Diceros bicornis minor: one gene and its partner. The protein of the gene in region 1 purifies or fractionates together with the protein of each later gene. This does not show direct contact. Links are inferred from orthologs where the notes say so. Each region holds a gene or a part of one and is shown in the gene's direction. Other genes may lie near its edges.

What was found. Proteins that work in one complex are often made in the same cells at the same time.
Region 2: the proteins of TOM1 (region 1) and CLTC purify together in Homo sapiens (affinity purification with western blotting, with the first as the bait; 3 studies listed by BioGRID). This does not show direct contact. The link is inferred for Diceros bicornis minor from reciprocal best matches to the Homo sapiens genes TOM1 and CLTC.

The regions. Positions count from the first base shown.
Region 1 is NC_080764.1:14,280,600-14,287,880, reverse strand, and holds the start of TOM1 (target of Myb1 membrane trafficking protein), read left to right. Parts: upstream 1-3,919; 5' UTR 3,920-4,001; coding exon 4,002-4,053; intron 4,054-7,281.
Region 2 is NC_080757.1:28,257,597-28,265,987, reverse strand, and holds the start of CLTC (clathrin heavy chain 1), read left to right. Parts: upstream 1-5,262; 5' UTR 5,263-5,546; coding exon 5,547-5,588; intron 5,589-8,391. UniProt on the Homo sapiens protein: Clathrin is the major protein of the polyhedral coat of coated pits and vesicles. Two different adapter protein complexes link the clathrin lattice either to the plasma membrane or to the trans-Golgi network.

The DNA.
Region 1 (7,281 bases):
CACCAGTGTGGTCACCGGGCTGTGTTTCTTAAAGGTATTCTGGCTGCTGAATGCCTTTCTCAGCTCAGAGCAGTTCTGAGATTTAATTGGAGAAACAGAAAGAAACAGGAACGTTTGGGAACCAAAATCAAGAAGAGCAGAAATCTTGGTTTGATTTCGTGTGTGAGAACCTGTACCACCCCTCTCTGTACCCATGGAAGTTTCCTGTTTGACACGGGGATCAAGGGGGGCCTTGAAGGCATGGATTAGTACAGAAAGAAGTCAGTCCTACCATTGTCATTTGCACACATTAATGGAATCCTGATGAGGACCTGCTTTTTGTTTGTTTTCCTTTAAAATCCAACCCTGTTGTATTTGTATTTAAAATTTGTACACATTTGTATAATAATCTGTATCTTGTGGTATTTGGTACTATTAGAGGAAAAACTTTGGATTCAGACCTTCTTGCAGTTTTTATATCATTGTTTTATTTTGTTTTTTAAATAAATTCTAGCAGTTTGATCCAAATCCCATTACAGTTGTATAAAGAAATAAAATTTTGTACTTATATTATTAAAAATCACATTTTTATTATTTGTAGTCCAGTCTCAGCTATCTTTTCCCTGCTGCTAACCAAAAAAGCTACAAAATTATAAAACCTGTTTTTCACACGATATCCTACAATAATTTTCTTAAAAAGAAAAATCCATCTGGAATAGAGGTCAAGTTTCTGATCTTAGCCATTTTCCTAGCACACATCTTGCTCTGTTTCTATTAACTGTTACATTGTGGAGTCTCTCGTGTTCTCTCTTTTACAAATTGTAAACCCGGTAGCTCTGATAAGTGCAGCTCTATTCGCTGGCAAATGAAATTGTATGTACATTGCAGTGTTGGCCTAACTCAAGAAAATGTCTATCAGTCTTATATAAGGGTTGCATCTGAATCACGTGCTTGAATATATTTCATACTGTTTCAGTACTGTCCTGACTTAGTGAGTGATGTTGGTTAAGTCACTTAATCTTTATAGGCATCCAAAGTCCCATCTGTAAAACAGTGTTAATGTCACTTTCCTGATCCAAGCCTGCAGCCAGCCAGTCTGACATGAATATTTAATAGTATTGTGAACATTTAATATATAGAGATTTGACCTTTCGAGGTAAAAATTTCAATGCAAACACAATATGTTAATAGTTATAAATAGTGAGACATTATGATTGATTAAAAGGATAACTTCTTATGGAGAGGCAGCAAGGAAGAGACCACCATATTACTGAATGACTATTATAGAGTGATGTGCATATTTTATCTCACTTAATCCTCCGAAAAGCCTTATGAGTATTATCCCCCTTTACAAATAAGGAGACAGATGTAGAGAAGCACTTTTCCTAAGTTTAGACAGCTAGTAAATGGCAAAGCCAGATAAGCACACTGGTACAGCTGACCCCAAAGCCTAGGCCCTCTCCTACCCCAAGCCACTTTCACACTTAAATTGTGTGTGTAATTCATCAGAATCCTTCTCTGTTATCTATAGTCCTGAGCAAATGTGATTGTAGGGAAACTATCTGAGACCTTTTCATTGTTCCACTGTTGTTTTGTCCTAGCTGGCTTTCACTATACAGGCCTCACTTTTCTTGTCATACTATTGTCTTTAAACTTTGGAGGCAAAGTATCTTGATTTTTGTCCAAAAGTACTTAAAGGATGTAATAGATTACATTACATTTATGCAATATGTCAATCTTAAGGAACTTAAACATTTTTACCCTCAGGAAGGCATTTGATATTAATATTGCTAAAACACTTAAAAGGAAAAATTAAGACAGACTTTTTACTAAATGAGTTTGTTCCTTGTTTGCAAACACTTTTAAAACATAGTTTTAATCAGTTTTGTACTACACTTAATATTTGCCATTTACATTCCTGTCATGTTGACAAAATCCACACACTTCCTTTGCTAATTTAATAGCTATATAATATTCTGTTTGCACGGAGTTAATATGACTGCACTCTGTGTTTGGGGATATGTAGGTTGTTCCTGCTTTTTTACCATGAAGGATAAAATTTATGTCTGTTTTATTCTTGGCAGTAAAGCCAAGATCTTCTGCCCATAATCACTTTAAACCAGAGTGATCCAAGAAGGCAAGAACTTCTGGTAAATCACCACCCAACATGGGAATGTTCAAGATTGTTAATGGAAGAATCCAAAAGAAATTCGTGCTAAATATACTCCATACAACCAAGCCATATGCTTAAATGAAGAAAAACATGGAAGGTACCTGACATGAAGTTCATCTTAAATATACATCCCCCTTTATAGTCCAAATACCATTACTGAAAGGTAAATTATTTAAATTTTCATGTTAGTCACTGCGCTAGACAACAGTGGTGAGCAAAACACAGTATCCCAGCCCTCACAGAGCATCCAGAGAGGGAAGGCGTTTATTAAAAGGTCTCATGAGCATTATTAAAACACTTCGGAGGGGGCCAGCCTGGTGGCGTAGTGGTTAAGTTCGCGAGCTCCGCTTCAGCAGTGGGTTAGGATCCTAGGCATAGACCTACGCACCACTTATCAAGCCATGCTGTGGCAGGCATCCCACATGTAAAATAGAGGAAGATGGACATGGATGTTAGCTCAGGACCAATCTTCCTCAGCAAAAAGAGGAGGATCAGCAACAGATGTTAGCTCAGGCCTAACTTTCCTCACCAAAAAAAAAACAAACACTTCAGAGCTCAGGAGTACATGACTTCCATAAAGTTTTTCTATTGTACAGTAAGGATGTCAGCCCCTATGGCTGCTCGAACAGGTTAACATACAAAAGTGATTGAAGTTCTAATGTAGATTTTCCATCCTAATTTTGTGCAGAGTCAATTTACCAGCCTTGCAAATTTAAAAATCACAAGAATCATGATCAATAAATAGTAAAGCACCCTGCAGTAGCCCAAACTACCAAAGCAGTGGTTATTGTATCTTTTGGAATGCATGTCATTGGAAGGAAAAAACATAACCAATAGATCAGATATCTAACGTGTAGGTGACATATCCAAAACATGGTACACAGTCAGAAAGGCCGAAGAAGATATTCGAATTACAAAGCTGGGAAAGGCCTTTGAGCTTTTTGGAGTCCACTGCTGTACTTTAGGGACCCAGAACCTCCCTGAAGTTAAATTATATCTCTGCCTTTTTTCTTCAGAAGGGCTCATGGCTTTCTTCAAATTCTCAAAGGAGACTGTTACCTAAAAAGAGGAAGGTTACGAGTCCCTGATCTAATTCCAGCATCCAGAGAAAATGGAAACTCGCTGTTTGAATCACACAGTAAATTAACAGCAGAGATGGGTCCCAGGCCCCACTCGTGCTTTCTGCCACCCTGGGCGGTAGCCCATCCCTAGCTGTAATTCATGGAGTTGGCTCTCAGTGGCAAGAGATCGCAAACCCCTGGCCCTGGCCTCCGATTTGAGGTAAGCGAATCTGGGCAGCAAGCAGGGCACATGTTGCGTCAGGGAGACCTCGACATCAGATAGGGAAAGTCCCATCAGGACAGGGCGACAACAGGCCAGAGAGGCTGTCAACCCCCGCGGCGGGTATGTAGTCACAGTGTGGTCGGAAGGGCTAAGGGCCGAGTGAGAGCTGTAGTCTAAGCGTAACCTTGCCCAAGTCACTTCCCTGCTCCCACACCCAGTTTTCCAGATGCGTTAAGATGCTTAGGTCACGCCCCTAAACCTTAAATAAACGTCGAGGGCGTGGCTTAGAGAGGTCCACGCCCCCAAGTCCGCCACCGCCCCACGTCGTGCGTGACGTCCGCCGACGCCGAGTAAGCCGCAGTGACGTCATCGCCCTCCCCCCTCGGGACGCCCAACCCTTCACGTCAGGGGCGGGGCCTGAGGCCGCGCTCCACACTCCCTCTGCCCCGCCCCCACGGGCGCCTCCTCGCGGACCGTCCGGCACGTCACGTGACGGGTCGGCAGCGCCGGCGGTTGCTGTCAGCTGATTCCCCGGGTTGGTGGCAGCCGCAGCGCAGCAGAGGCGATGGAGTTTCTCCTGGGGAACCCGTTCAGCTCTCCGGTGGGACAGCGCATCGGTGAGTCTCCGGAGCCCCGCCCAGCCCCGCCGCAGGGCTCTGCTTCCGGCCCCGACCCCCCGGGGCGCCTCCGGGTCCCCGGTCACACACCGGAGGGAGGCGGGGAGGGGAACGAGGCCGGCGTGTCTCTCCTGAACCGGCCCCGCCCAGTCTCCCACCTTGATTGACAAACTCCGTGGTCCATTAGGAAGCCTCGACTTGTGATGGATGCTTACGTCAGCCAATAGCTAAAGAGAGAGGGCGGGTTCGGGAGGCCGCGGCTCAGCCAATGTGCGGCTACTGTGGTCCCGACTCCACGGAGAAAGTTTGGGGGGTTGAAGGGTCTGCGCGGTTTTGCAATTCTTGCGCCCCTCGACTGTTCCCCGCGTCGCGCCTCCAGTGCGGGTCGCGCCGCCTGGGGTCTTGCCGTCTCCTTCCTGCTCGCCAGGCTCTCCGCACACGGATACCTGAGAAGGGCTGAACGTCCATTCTCCCAGGACCAGGAGTCCAGGGCTTGGCGTCTGGGCGACGACCTGCGGGGAGGGGCCGGTCAGCCCTGCCTGCCCCGGGCCCGGGCTAGACGCTGGGGAGCCCGCTCGACCAGGCGGCCATGCCTTAGCGACCAGGGTCTCAGGACGTGCTTGCCCTGGCAGTCCTCACCTGCTGGCATGAGACCCACCGCCTAGCGTCGCAGACTCTCTGGGCTGGAGGTGATCTTAGAAGCCACCTGCTTCGGCCTCCCTCATTTCCCGGTAGATGATCAGCCAAGGGCTCTGGCTGGAGACACAGGCTTACTGGGAGCCCAGGTCTCCTGACTCTCTTGCCGCCTGTTGACGGGAGACCTACAAGTCTTGTGATGTTGCCTCACTGTAGAGCTCAGGCTTCCTCATCCGTAGTTAGGGGATAATAATGGTCCCTACCTCCGTGGGGTTGTTGTGAAGATTAAACTCGTTAATAAATGTAAAGTACTTAGAACAGTGACTGGCACATGGCCAGTGCTATATAAAAGAAAGTCATAGTATTTATTATCGTTGTTCCTGATATACCACCAAGCGAGGGTCGGAAATCCCTGGAAATGGCTGGGCGGTAGGTCTCATGGGTGCTCATTCCTGCCCACCAACACGGGGAGGACGCACAGGCCCTGGCCCAAACAGCTAACACTTCTCCAGGGACGGTCTGGGTGTGCCTCCTTCTCCCATGAGGAAACCACTGGCAGTACTGTGAAATTCTCTCTTCATCTTTTTGATGGTTTTTAGCCTTAAGTCCAGACTGGGAAAATTGTATCTTTTAGACAAAATATTTTTTCCATTCTTACCGTCTTGGAAGCCAAACCTTGCTCAAGTCTGCGGACCCAGCTCTGTGGTGTAATGTCCAACATGACTGTTTGTGGCTCTTCTGAGGTTTTGTAATCACCTCTCTCCAAGAAGGGGGTGGCAGTCAAGGATTTACACACCAGGAAGCTCCTGGACCAGAGAGCGGAAGCTGCCCTCTCAGGACCACCGTTCCGGGACCTCCCCCACAAGACGCTACACACACACACACCTCCGGGACCTCCCCCACAAGACACTATACACACACCAATGAGTCATTGTTTTGGAGCTGAAAACAGAAAGCAGCTCTCCTCTCGTCTTTATTTCTCCAGCTACAGATAGCACTGCTTTCATCACATGCCAAGTTTGAGACTTCCTACTTAAAAATAAAAAAAAAAATCTGGCCTTCAAAGTCAGCCACAGGGCTGGCCCCGTGGCTTAGCGGTTAGGTGCGCACGCTCAGCTGCTGGCGGCCCGGGTTTGGATCCCGGGCGCGCACCGACGCACCGCTTCTCTGGCCATGCCGAGGCCGCGTCCCACATGCAGCAACTGGAAGGATGTGCAGCTATGACATACAACTATCTACTGGGGCTTTGGGGGAAAAAAATAAATAAATAAAATTTAAAAAAAAAAAAAGTCAGCCACATATTCCTGAGGATTTCTAGAAAAGTTCACGTGGACTCTGGGCTTTAGCTGATCGGAGAAAACAGCTTCTCTTCTACCCTGAAGGGTTTCGAGTCTTGGGCAAGAGGTACTCTGTCGAGAGAGAATACTACTAAATCATAGCACCTCAGAGCCCAAACCGCCTTTTACTGCCGGAAGGGTCCTTCCCCTGGGGACCTTCGAACCCGGGGCTCTCAAGTGTCCCCTGGAAGACTTGTTAAAGCGCAGGTGGCTGGCCCCCACCCCTAGAGTTTCTGACCCTCTACGTCTGGGGTGGGGCCCTAGAATTTGCATTTCTAGCAAATTCCCAGGTGATGCTAAAGCCACTGGATTGGAGGGCCAGCCCTGTGGCTTAGCGGTTGAGTGCGCGCGCTCCGCTGCTGGCAGCCCGGGTTCGGATCCCGGGCGCGCACCGCTTCTCCGGCCATGCTGAGGCCGCGTCCCACATACAGCAACTAGAAGGATGTGCAGCTACGACGTACAACTATCTACTGGGGCTTTGGGGGGAAAAATAAATAAATAAAATCTTTAAAAAAAAAAAAAAAAGCCCCTGGATTGGAAACCACATATTGCAAACCTCTGTTCTGGTCCACTCCCTTCATTTTACACAAGAGGAAACCGAGGCCCAGGGAGGGGAAGGTGGAGACTGACTCACCCCAGACCCCAGTGAATTGATAGTGAAGCTGAGATGAACTCCCCCAGAACCAGTGAAACTTGAGCCAAAGCTGAAGAGGCTCTAAAAGTAGAATTAAATGAAGAATAGCTGCGATCTGAGTTAATGCCCTCAGTAGTCTGTGTTTTTCTTGTGGATAAAGAGGCGGAAGTACTGCTGATTGGCTGTGATTACTGATGACCCACTGTTAGCCGCTTGTATTTCTGTCAGCTGCAGGAGTAACATAATCTCTTCTCAAGCCTGCCACCTCCATCCCCTTGTTGAGAGGAGAGCCCTGTAGAATTGGCATCCCTGAGCACAGTGGGTTCTACTGGTGCTCATCAGGGGTGTCACTTGACTCACAAGTGCGCACACGCTTGGACACACACACACACACCCCTTTGTGCTTGCTGCACCCTCTGCCTGGAATGCTGTCCTGTGTGCTTCCTTCAAAGTCGCAGGCATCGTCACCTCCTCCATCTCCTCCCTGAGGGGTACCCTGACCCCTTCCCTGACCCCTTCCAATCCAGCCATTGCTTCTGTGTTCTCCCTTCAGCCAGCTCCTCAGGCTTCCTCACTGTCTGCCTTTGGGCTCGGAGCCTCCACTTCCTCCTGGGTGGAATG
Region 2 (8,391 bases), on another chromosome or scaffold:
TGCTTTCTGTATATAGTAGGTATTTATAAGTGATCACTGTGCTAACTCCAGGTGTGATTATTAACAACATTAAGTTAGCCTAGGCTTCAAATTAAGGAAGTGGTACAGTCAATAAAGGCTAGAATAGCTTAAGAAGTAGGGTAGATAGATTTATAAGCTGAGTTTTTAAGGAAGAGTAGGACTTGGACTAGAACAAAAAAGGATACAGAATTTGTGTGGTTTGGGACAGGAATCAGAGTTAAAAATTGGAAAGATTATCATCAGTGTCACCTCGAGAAGGGCTTTTTTGAAGGGTCTTGCATCTTCCAGTCTGTAACTTGGGTTAACATTAAGTAGGTCAAATGAAGAATAATTTGAGTGCCATTCATTCTTGCAGAAAGAAAAATTTGCAAGTTGGCTTGGACTGGGGTATTCCTTTTATAGTTTGGGGCACTTATAGACTGCCATTGTGTGCCAGTCTGCTGCTCCATTTAGTTCCCTGTTCAAGAAATGAAATTTTTAAGCCCTCCTCAGTAATGAGTATAATCTCATCTCCACATCTGATCTGATGGCTTAGCTAGATAGTCTGAAAATATAGAGACAGTAAAGGGCTGTCTTTATTAGGTAGTTTTTATTTTCAGCCCGTGGAAAGCTTTATGTTTGAGTGATTGGTAGACCTAACCTAAAGAGATCTTTTTTTGCCTGTTGGTGCTATCAGGGCTGGCTCAGAAATAAATTAAATCAATAAATATGAGGTAGGCTCATATGAATGCTACATATTTTTCATTACTGGAATATTACAGAATGAATAGTAGTTGTATACTGTTCAACATTAAACTCACAGTTATTTGTAATATGAACAACCAGGAAAAGGAAATAACCAGGTTTTTGGTTAGTTTTACGTAATACTCTTTTATCAATCATGACACGTTAAGGTAAGGCATTTAAAAAAAAAGTAATTTCTAGTGTGTCCTAAATTTGGTACATATTCAGGTAATTTGCAGGACTATACAAAAAACTTCACAGTAATGAATCTGAGGCTTTTAAGATTGAGAATTACTTTCCCCATATAATTTTTTTAAAAGCTTTTTCAAAAGATTTTAACACTGAGTATAAGTATTTTTCATACTGAAAAGTGTTGACTGAGTAAATTAGCTTATACTTCCTTGAAACTTTATTACTGAGTTAACCAAAACTTTGTTTACCAAATCTCAGTCCTTACCCATTCTGTTCTGAGGAAGAGTTTACTACCATAACAAGGCTGCATATGTGCATTGCTACTGATAGAACTATCCCTGGAGTGTGACAGATTTTTAAAGTTGCTGTGGGCCGGCCCCGTGGCTTAGCAGTTAAGTGCGCACGCTCCGCTGCTGGCGGCCCGGGTTCAGATCCTGGGCGCACACCAACCCACTGCTTCTCCGGCCGTGCTGAGGCTGCATCCCACGTACAGCAACTAGAAGGATGTGCATCTATGACATACAACTATCTACTGGGGCTTTGGGGGAAAAAATAAAATTAAAAAAAATTTTAAATTGCTGAGAGAACATAACATGTTTGTGGGTCATACTTTGCTTTGAATTGGAGACAGTAATAACTCTAGATGAAGAGAGACAGCTCTACATATTTAGAAAGAAGGAAAAAAATAGCCCATAACAATCATTCCCACACCTTGACCCTCATTGCCCCCCTTCATTTTATAGAGCCTCTCAAGCTTTTTGTGACTTTTGAAAGGGATGTTGTGATGTGGCATCTGATTCCCTATTGATCGGCAGGGTTTTTCTGTCCATAATGCTCTGTGAATCACTATATTTGAACCAACTTTCCTCAGATGACTTTTTAAGGTAATGTTATGAGCCACTTCATTCCTCTGCTTGGATCTGATTTAACCTTTAGAAAATATGGGAGGGGCCAATATAATATTACTAGATTGCAGATTTTATTCCCACAGGGCCAGTCTTGGCTATTCATTGGAACATGCTCAATCCTGACCCAGAATAAAGAGTCACTATAGATCTTACTGCTATCCATGACACATTATAAAACCTGTCTATGAAATTAGGTTTAGGACAACCTGAGCAGTGAATGATATTAGGTGCAGGTCCATTTCATACTAAAATAAAAGGCCATGAAAATTTTTTCATGCTTTGTGTTTTTTTTTTGGTTGAGCTTTGCCTATAATCAGTGCCTTGTACAAAATAAAGTGGGCACTGTGTGTTGACTGATACCTGAGCCATTTACTGGTATTTGATATTCTGCTCTTTATCTAATCCTGCTAGTATTCATATGAGCGGCCCGAGGGGGCTGAAATGTTTCAGAGCTGCTGTATAAATGGCAAAACCACTTATCTTACTTGGGTAATGCTAAAGTATATCCCTCTTGGTTTCATTAAAATCTGAATTTTAAATATTTGGTACTGTGGATTAGGTTTAAAGTTCTCCTTTAAAATTAATCTCAGTGTTTGAGAAATGCCTTTACTTTGTGGCTTTTGCAATGCAGCTAGCTCACGCTCTTTTTAAAAGGTCAAGTTAAAAGGCAGGGGCCTTAATTCAGGGGCTGCTTGAAGATTAACAACTACAGAGGAATCATGCAATGAAAAGTTTTTCTCAGGTGTCATTCTCATTGGAGCTAATATGTATATATATATATATAAATATCATAGTTCCTGTCATAAAATATAAAATTAGGGGCATAATAAAGGTTTCTTATGTAGGTTTTGGGAAACTGGCACTCCTCAAAATAGACAAGCAATGCAGTTTTTGCTAATGGCACTTCCTGTGACTCACAGCAAGGACCTTCTATTGAACATTCTGATAGAAATAACTTCCAATTAAAAGAACGAGACCAATTTTTTATTAATATGGCTGCCTTACTAAAACATTTTCTGAACCCAAAAGCCGGGATGATGATACATTTATAGCAGTAGCCTTATTAAAAGACTTTGTCATAGTTAGAAAAAACCCAGCATTTGTTTTCTGGTTTATTAGGTTATCTATCTTCTCTAACTTAAGGTAGTGCCTGATAACAAAGCCATTCAATTACTGCTCAGGTAACTGTTAACAGTGACTCAGCCTTTGGGGCTTCTAAACCAAGGATTGACAACCTTTTCTCCTGCCTCCACACCATTTGCAAGAACAGCAAACTACTATAAAAAGCTCTTATTACCTCAGGCAAAATTATTGTTAAAAGGCATAGGTTTGGTTTTTTTTTAGTGTTTATCATCTGGACCATTTTTTTCTCTTGAAAAACTTTGGATTTATTAATTTGAAGGATACAGTATTCAAAATGAGCTGGTATATTGTAATCTATTCTCAAATGATTTCTGAAAACAATGCATTAGATTTCCGTGTGATGACACAGCAGTCACTTGAACAGAACCTCAGTGCACTTTTGGTTAGACATTCCATACCAAATATCCAAGCTAAAATCAATTGCTTTATGGATTCTAAATGTACTTAAAATTACAGGTCTGTATGAAAATTCAAGACAGTTATTAATAAAGAAAATTTTGGTGGCACATTCATGATATAGCTCTTGTATCCCAGATTCTGAGATTGGAAATGTAACTTGATTAAGTTACTGCTTTTACTTTAATAAAACAATAACTTCTTTAGATTTTTAATTTAGAATTTGTCTACTTCCAAAAAGGGTTGAAAGCAGCTATTAAACTGGTATTAGAAAGATCATTTCAAATGTTGCAGAATACAGAACATCTTCAAGTGTCTGGCTTAACAAAACAATGAAATTTTGCCAAGCATAAATATTCACTCTTATGACATGGTGGCAAGGCTTTTCTTTGCAGAACACTCTGCTCTCTTACCTGCCAAAGATTCTTCTCTCATCCTCAGTATGTGAGATGTATTTTGGGAAAAACATTAAATGCAATTTAAATGATTAAGCAAACTAAGCAAAACTACATGGCACAAAATTACTGTATACATAATAGGGTTTTATGTTTAACTGAAAAGGGAACTAAAAATAATTGTGTACTTGTTTTTTCTCAAGATCTTTTTGGAAAAATAATCACATCTCATAAAGATGAGAGGCACAGAACTAAATTCTTTTATCCTTTATTGTATTTGTGCTATTATGAAATATTACATCTTATACTTTAGCAATAAAGTACTACAGTTATTAATTGATAATGAATACTGAAGATACCTTAATTATGTTAGAAGACACGATGCTGCAGCTTTGAAGCGCTTACATTCCCAAACACTGCTAATTTACAGGCAATGTCGAAGTGGTCCCACCGAAATACACCGCTAATAGTTAATCCCTTTCTCCAAGAGTGGACATTAGCCACACGAGGAAGAACCTTAAGGTTTTACAAACCGCCCTTAACGTAATTATCTAAATCTTTGAGACTCTTAATTATTTGATGTAGCTAAAAAATCTTCCTGCTACAATTTTGGTCTAATTCTTTAGCGTATGTATGATACTCAAATTCTTTAACACCGCATTTATTACTAAGCTAGACCGATATACACGTCTGCCAAAATGTCCGCAAAAACGTTAAGAAAAACCATCACTAGGCCAGCTTGAGATACCTCATAAATGGCCCTCACTGTCCTTTGAGCCAATTATTTAACATCCGAAGAGACCGCTAGTTCTAGTTAGAATCCAAGTGTCAGCTTCTCCAACCGTCAGAAGGGCGTGCATAAGTGCAGCGAGGATTTTAAATCGCATTTCATTCCCCCCTCCCTGGGATGTAAGAAACCACCCACTGTATGAAACTAGGTGGGGTAAAAGTGCTGCAGCCGGCTGCCAAGACAGCGCTCTGCAGGGAGGCCGTTTCCCTGAGTCACGGAGAGGGCGGGAGGCTGGGCCCATCTGCCCACGCCACGTCCTCTTCGTAAGGGACTCAGTTTAAATAGGCAGGGCCCACAGAGGAAGGGAGCAACACCGCTATTCCTCAAGGCGGCCCAACAGCCACCACATTCCCAGGAGACACCTCACTCCCCTAGAACTCGCTCGGCCTTCTGGTAGCAAACAGCCAACCCTTGCCGACCAGCGTCACGTGCAGCCGGAAGTAGGTGGGTGGGACCTAAAGCGCCCACGGAAATGACGTTGGTGGCCCCTAGTCGCATGATGTGGCAAAATGCAAAAAAAGGGGGGGGAAGGGAAAAGCAGGAGGCTGGGGAAAGTAATGAGTCCAAAAAAGTAGTCCCTTAGATTCTTCTATTTACCCCCGTGTCGCAGAAGTGAGCGAGGCCCGCGGCGCACTGCGCCCCAAATTCCTGCGCTTCGCAGCACGGGGGCGCTCCGTGGAAGGGTACATAAAGCGGAGGGGGTGAGGTGGCTTGGGCGGAGTTCCGTCGCCGGGATCCCTCCGCAGGGCTCAGCCGTTTCCGGAGTCTGCGCTACGCCGGGTTCCGCCATTGCGGCTCTCCTGGCTCCTGGAGCCTCCGCCCCCGACCCGAGCTCTTTCGTCTGCCTGCCAGTTTCCTGCGTCCCCGGAGAGTATCCTGCTGAGCCCAGCCCCCCCTCCTCCTCTCCCTTGGAGAGCCTGGGCAGCCACTGCCCCGCAGCCCCAGTGACAGGAGGAGACCATACCCCCCGACAGCGCCATGGCCCAGATTCTGCCAATTCGTTTTCAGGAGCATCTCCAGGTGCGGCTGGGCCCGGGCCGCGGAGGGCTGTGGAGAGGGTGGTAGGAAGGAACAAGCTGGAGTCTGGGCCCAAGCAAAAAGAACAGGATCGGAGTGGGTGGGAGGTCGGTGCCTGGGGTAGATGGAGGATGGGGGCGCTATCTTGGAAAGCTCAAAGGGTTAAATGATGTGGGGCTTGGATGGAAAGGACGAGAGTCGGGTGCAAAGGGCAGCGAAGCCAGGCCTGGGTGCGAGGGCCTGTCTGTCTTCGCTTCCTGGATGGCAAGAACTGCGCGTACTAACCTCCCCCTCCCTGTTTTATTCAGTTCATTCATTTGGATAGGTTGGGGGAGGGGGGTAGATCTCCCGCGTTTCTTCCCGAGCCAGGATTCTCATCCCCTAGGCTGTCACTTCCCATTGCTCTTCTTTTCCCTTTCCCCCACATAGTGTCTGTACTCAGGAGTTGTGGGGCGGGCTGGTTGGGGAGGAGCAACATTTTTTCTTCTTCCCTCTGCGGCTCTCAACTGAGAAAGGCACCTTCCCTGGGGGCTGGGGGGAACGGCAGTGGCTTGTCTCTTGCCTTCCCTGAGGCGGTAGGAACAGAAGGTCAGTAAAGGAACAGAAGGAGGATAGAATGGGGGAACGTATTTCTCAGGGCGGTGACAATCTCAGAGTGCATGGGTTCAAGGTCCCTAGGGGAACTCGCCTTTTTTCTTTTCTTGATTTCTCTGGGTATTCTGCGGTCTTATCCCCTCTTTGGTTCTAGAAGGTAGAACTGGGTTATCCGGAGGTTATCTTGAGGTCTGGTGTAGTCTGGCAGGTGGGCTTGGCTTGAGTACCTGCTTCAGGATTGCTTGGAATTGAACAGAGCTCTCAGGATAGAGCACACCTGCTCTGAGGTATGCGAGGTTATTTGGTCTGTAATTGGCTTCCTTTTAGTAGGTTCTAGAGTTCTTCCCCATGGTGGTGCATGATCCTGTAGGCAGCATACTGTCTTATCTGGCAGCAGGCCCATGGCGGGCCCAGGCAGGTGATCGTTGGGGAGCTTGACTGAATTAAGTCTCTTCTGGGCTTTTGATTTCCTGGTTCACCAATCCTGGTTTTATTTTGGCTGAAATAATTTATTCTTATTAATTTGCTTTTTTTTCAAATACCCTTTAAAGAGGCCTGCCTCAGCTCAATCTTCTGAAGGGCTAATTTCATAATGATAGAAGATGCTGTGGTTTGACATGATGCCAACTAATGTTAGTGACCTATCGGACACTTGACCATTGAAAGCTATTTTACTTTCTCCCATTGGTATAACATACATAAGGGATTTATTTTAATAAAAAGGTTTAATATTCAGGCTATCAGTAACATTTCATATTTCTTTACAGGTATTACCATCTTGGCTTGCATCAGCAAGAAATTCTTTTCTTTAAGTTTTGAAATGTACTGAATAATAAATATTTACTCAAAAAATGAGTTGAGGAATGCATTTTCTTCAGTTATCTATAGTTGTTAGATAACTCATCTGAAGTAATGGAACACTTACAAAAGGTTAAAAAATGTTAAGTGACAGAATGGACACAGAAGTTATTGTTTATGCTCAATCAAGTTTTAATTGCTGTGGTTACTTCTGTTAAAGTAGGGTGTAGATCAGTGTGGAGGGTTAGGAAAATGTTCTTGGGTGTGAGGCTTGTCCTCACACCAAAGTGCATCTGAAATATCTTTCTACAGACAAATGTTTGTAAAATCATACACAAGAGAAGTAGGTACATTTGCTGTCTACATGGCAGGAGTATAGCACACTAGTAGATCTTATTTCTTGACTAGAGGTGTTTTGAGCAATAGCTTTGCATTCCTATTAAAGAGAAGACAAGAATTGTGAAATAATCCCAAAGATTGGAATCCAATCTTGTCACTAATTGAAGGCAGATTTAATACAGGTCTGATTTCTAAGTGGTTCGAAGTTTCTGCAAATACTTGAGTAAAGCCATTTCCTTCTCAAATAATTTGAAGATGTGAGTATAAAGCAGCTTTGCAAGTATACTTGAAGAATTTAGTAGACTATTTTTTGGAGTATTATGCAGTGCCTAAATTTAAGCTTCCTGTTGTGACTGTATACTCCAGCCGATAATGATTAATTGCACAAAGAGCCCCAATCACCAACCTCTTCCAGGGTAATATATCTCTTGACTTCTCATTTTTATCCTTTCCCCTTTTTTTTTTTGGTGAGGAAGATTGGCCCTGAGCTAACACCTTTTGCCAATCTTCCTCTTTTTGCTTGAGCAAGAGTGGCCCTGAGCTAACGTCTGTGACCATTTTCCTCCATTTTCGTATGTGGGATGCCACCACAGCATGGCTTGATGAGTGGTGTAGGTTGACACCCATGATCCGAACCTGCGAACCCCGGGCTGGCCCCTATCCTTTTCCTTTTTAAAAATTAGTAAAGATTATTTTAATTGGCCCCTTAGGTCTTTGACCTCGGAGCCTCTGCCAGTTTGCTAAGCAGCATAAAACTTGCTGAAACACTTAGGATAAAAATTGGGAACAAGAATTTAGGAACTTGAGTGTCAGGTTAGCTTGTGAAAGCTTCAAAATGTGAACTGTAAATGAATTTATTTTTATACCATATAACTACTTTGGCCAACTGAAGGTTCTGTCATCAAAGCTCAGAACTACATCACATGAATGTTAGTATTTTAAGTTATGAAAGATTTATTTTTTAAAGCATGTTTAGGCTGAGAGCAGTCAACAGATGAGTGCCTATTTGAGCAAGACATTACTAGAGTTTCAGATTCTGAAAAAAAAAACCTAGGTTACATATAAAATGTTGCCC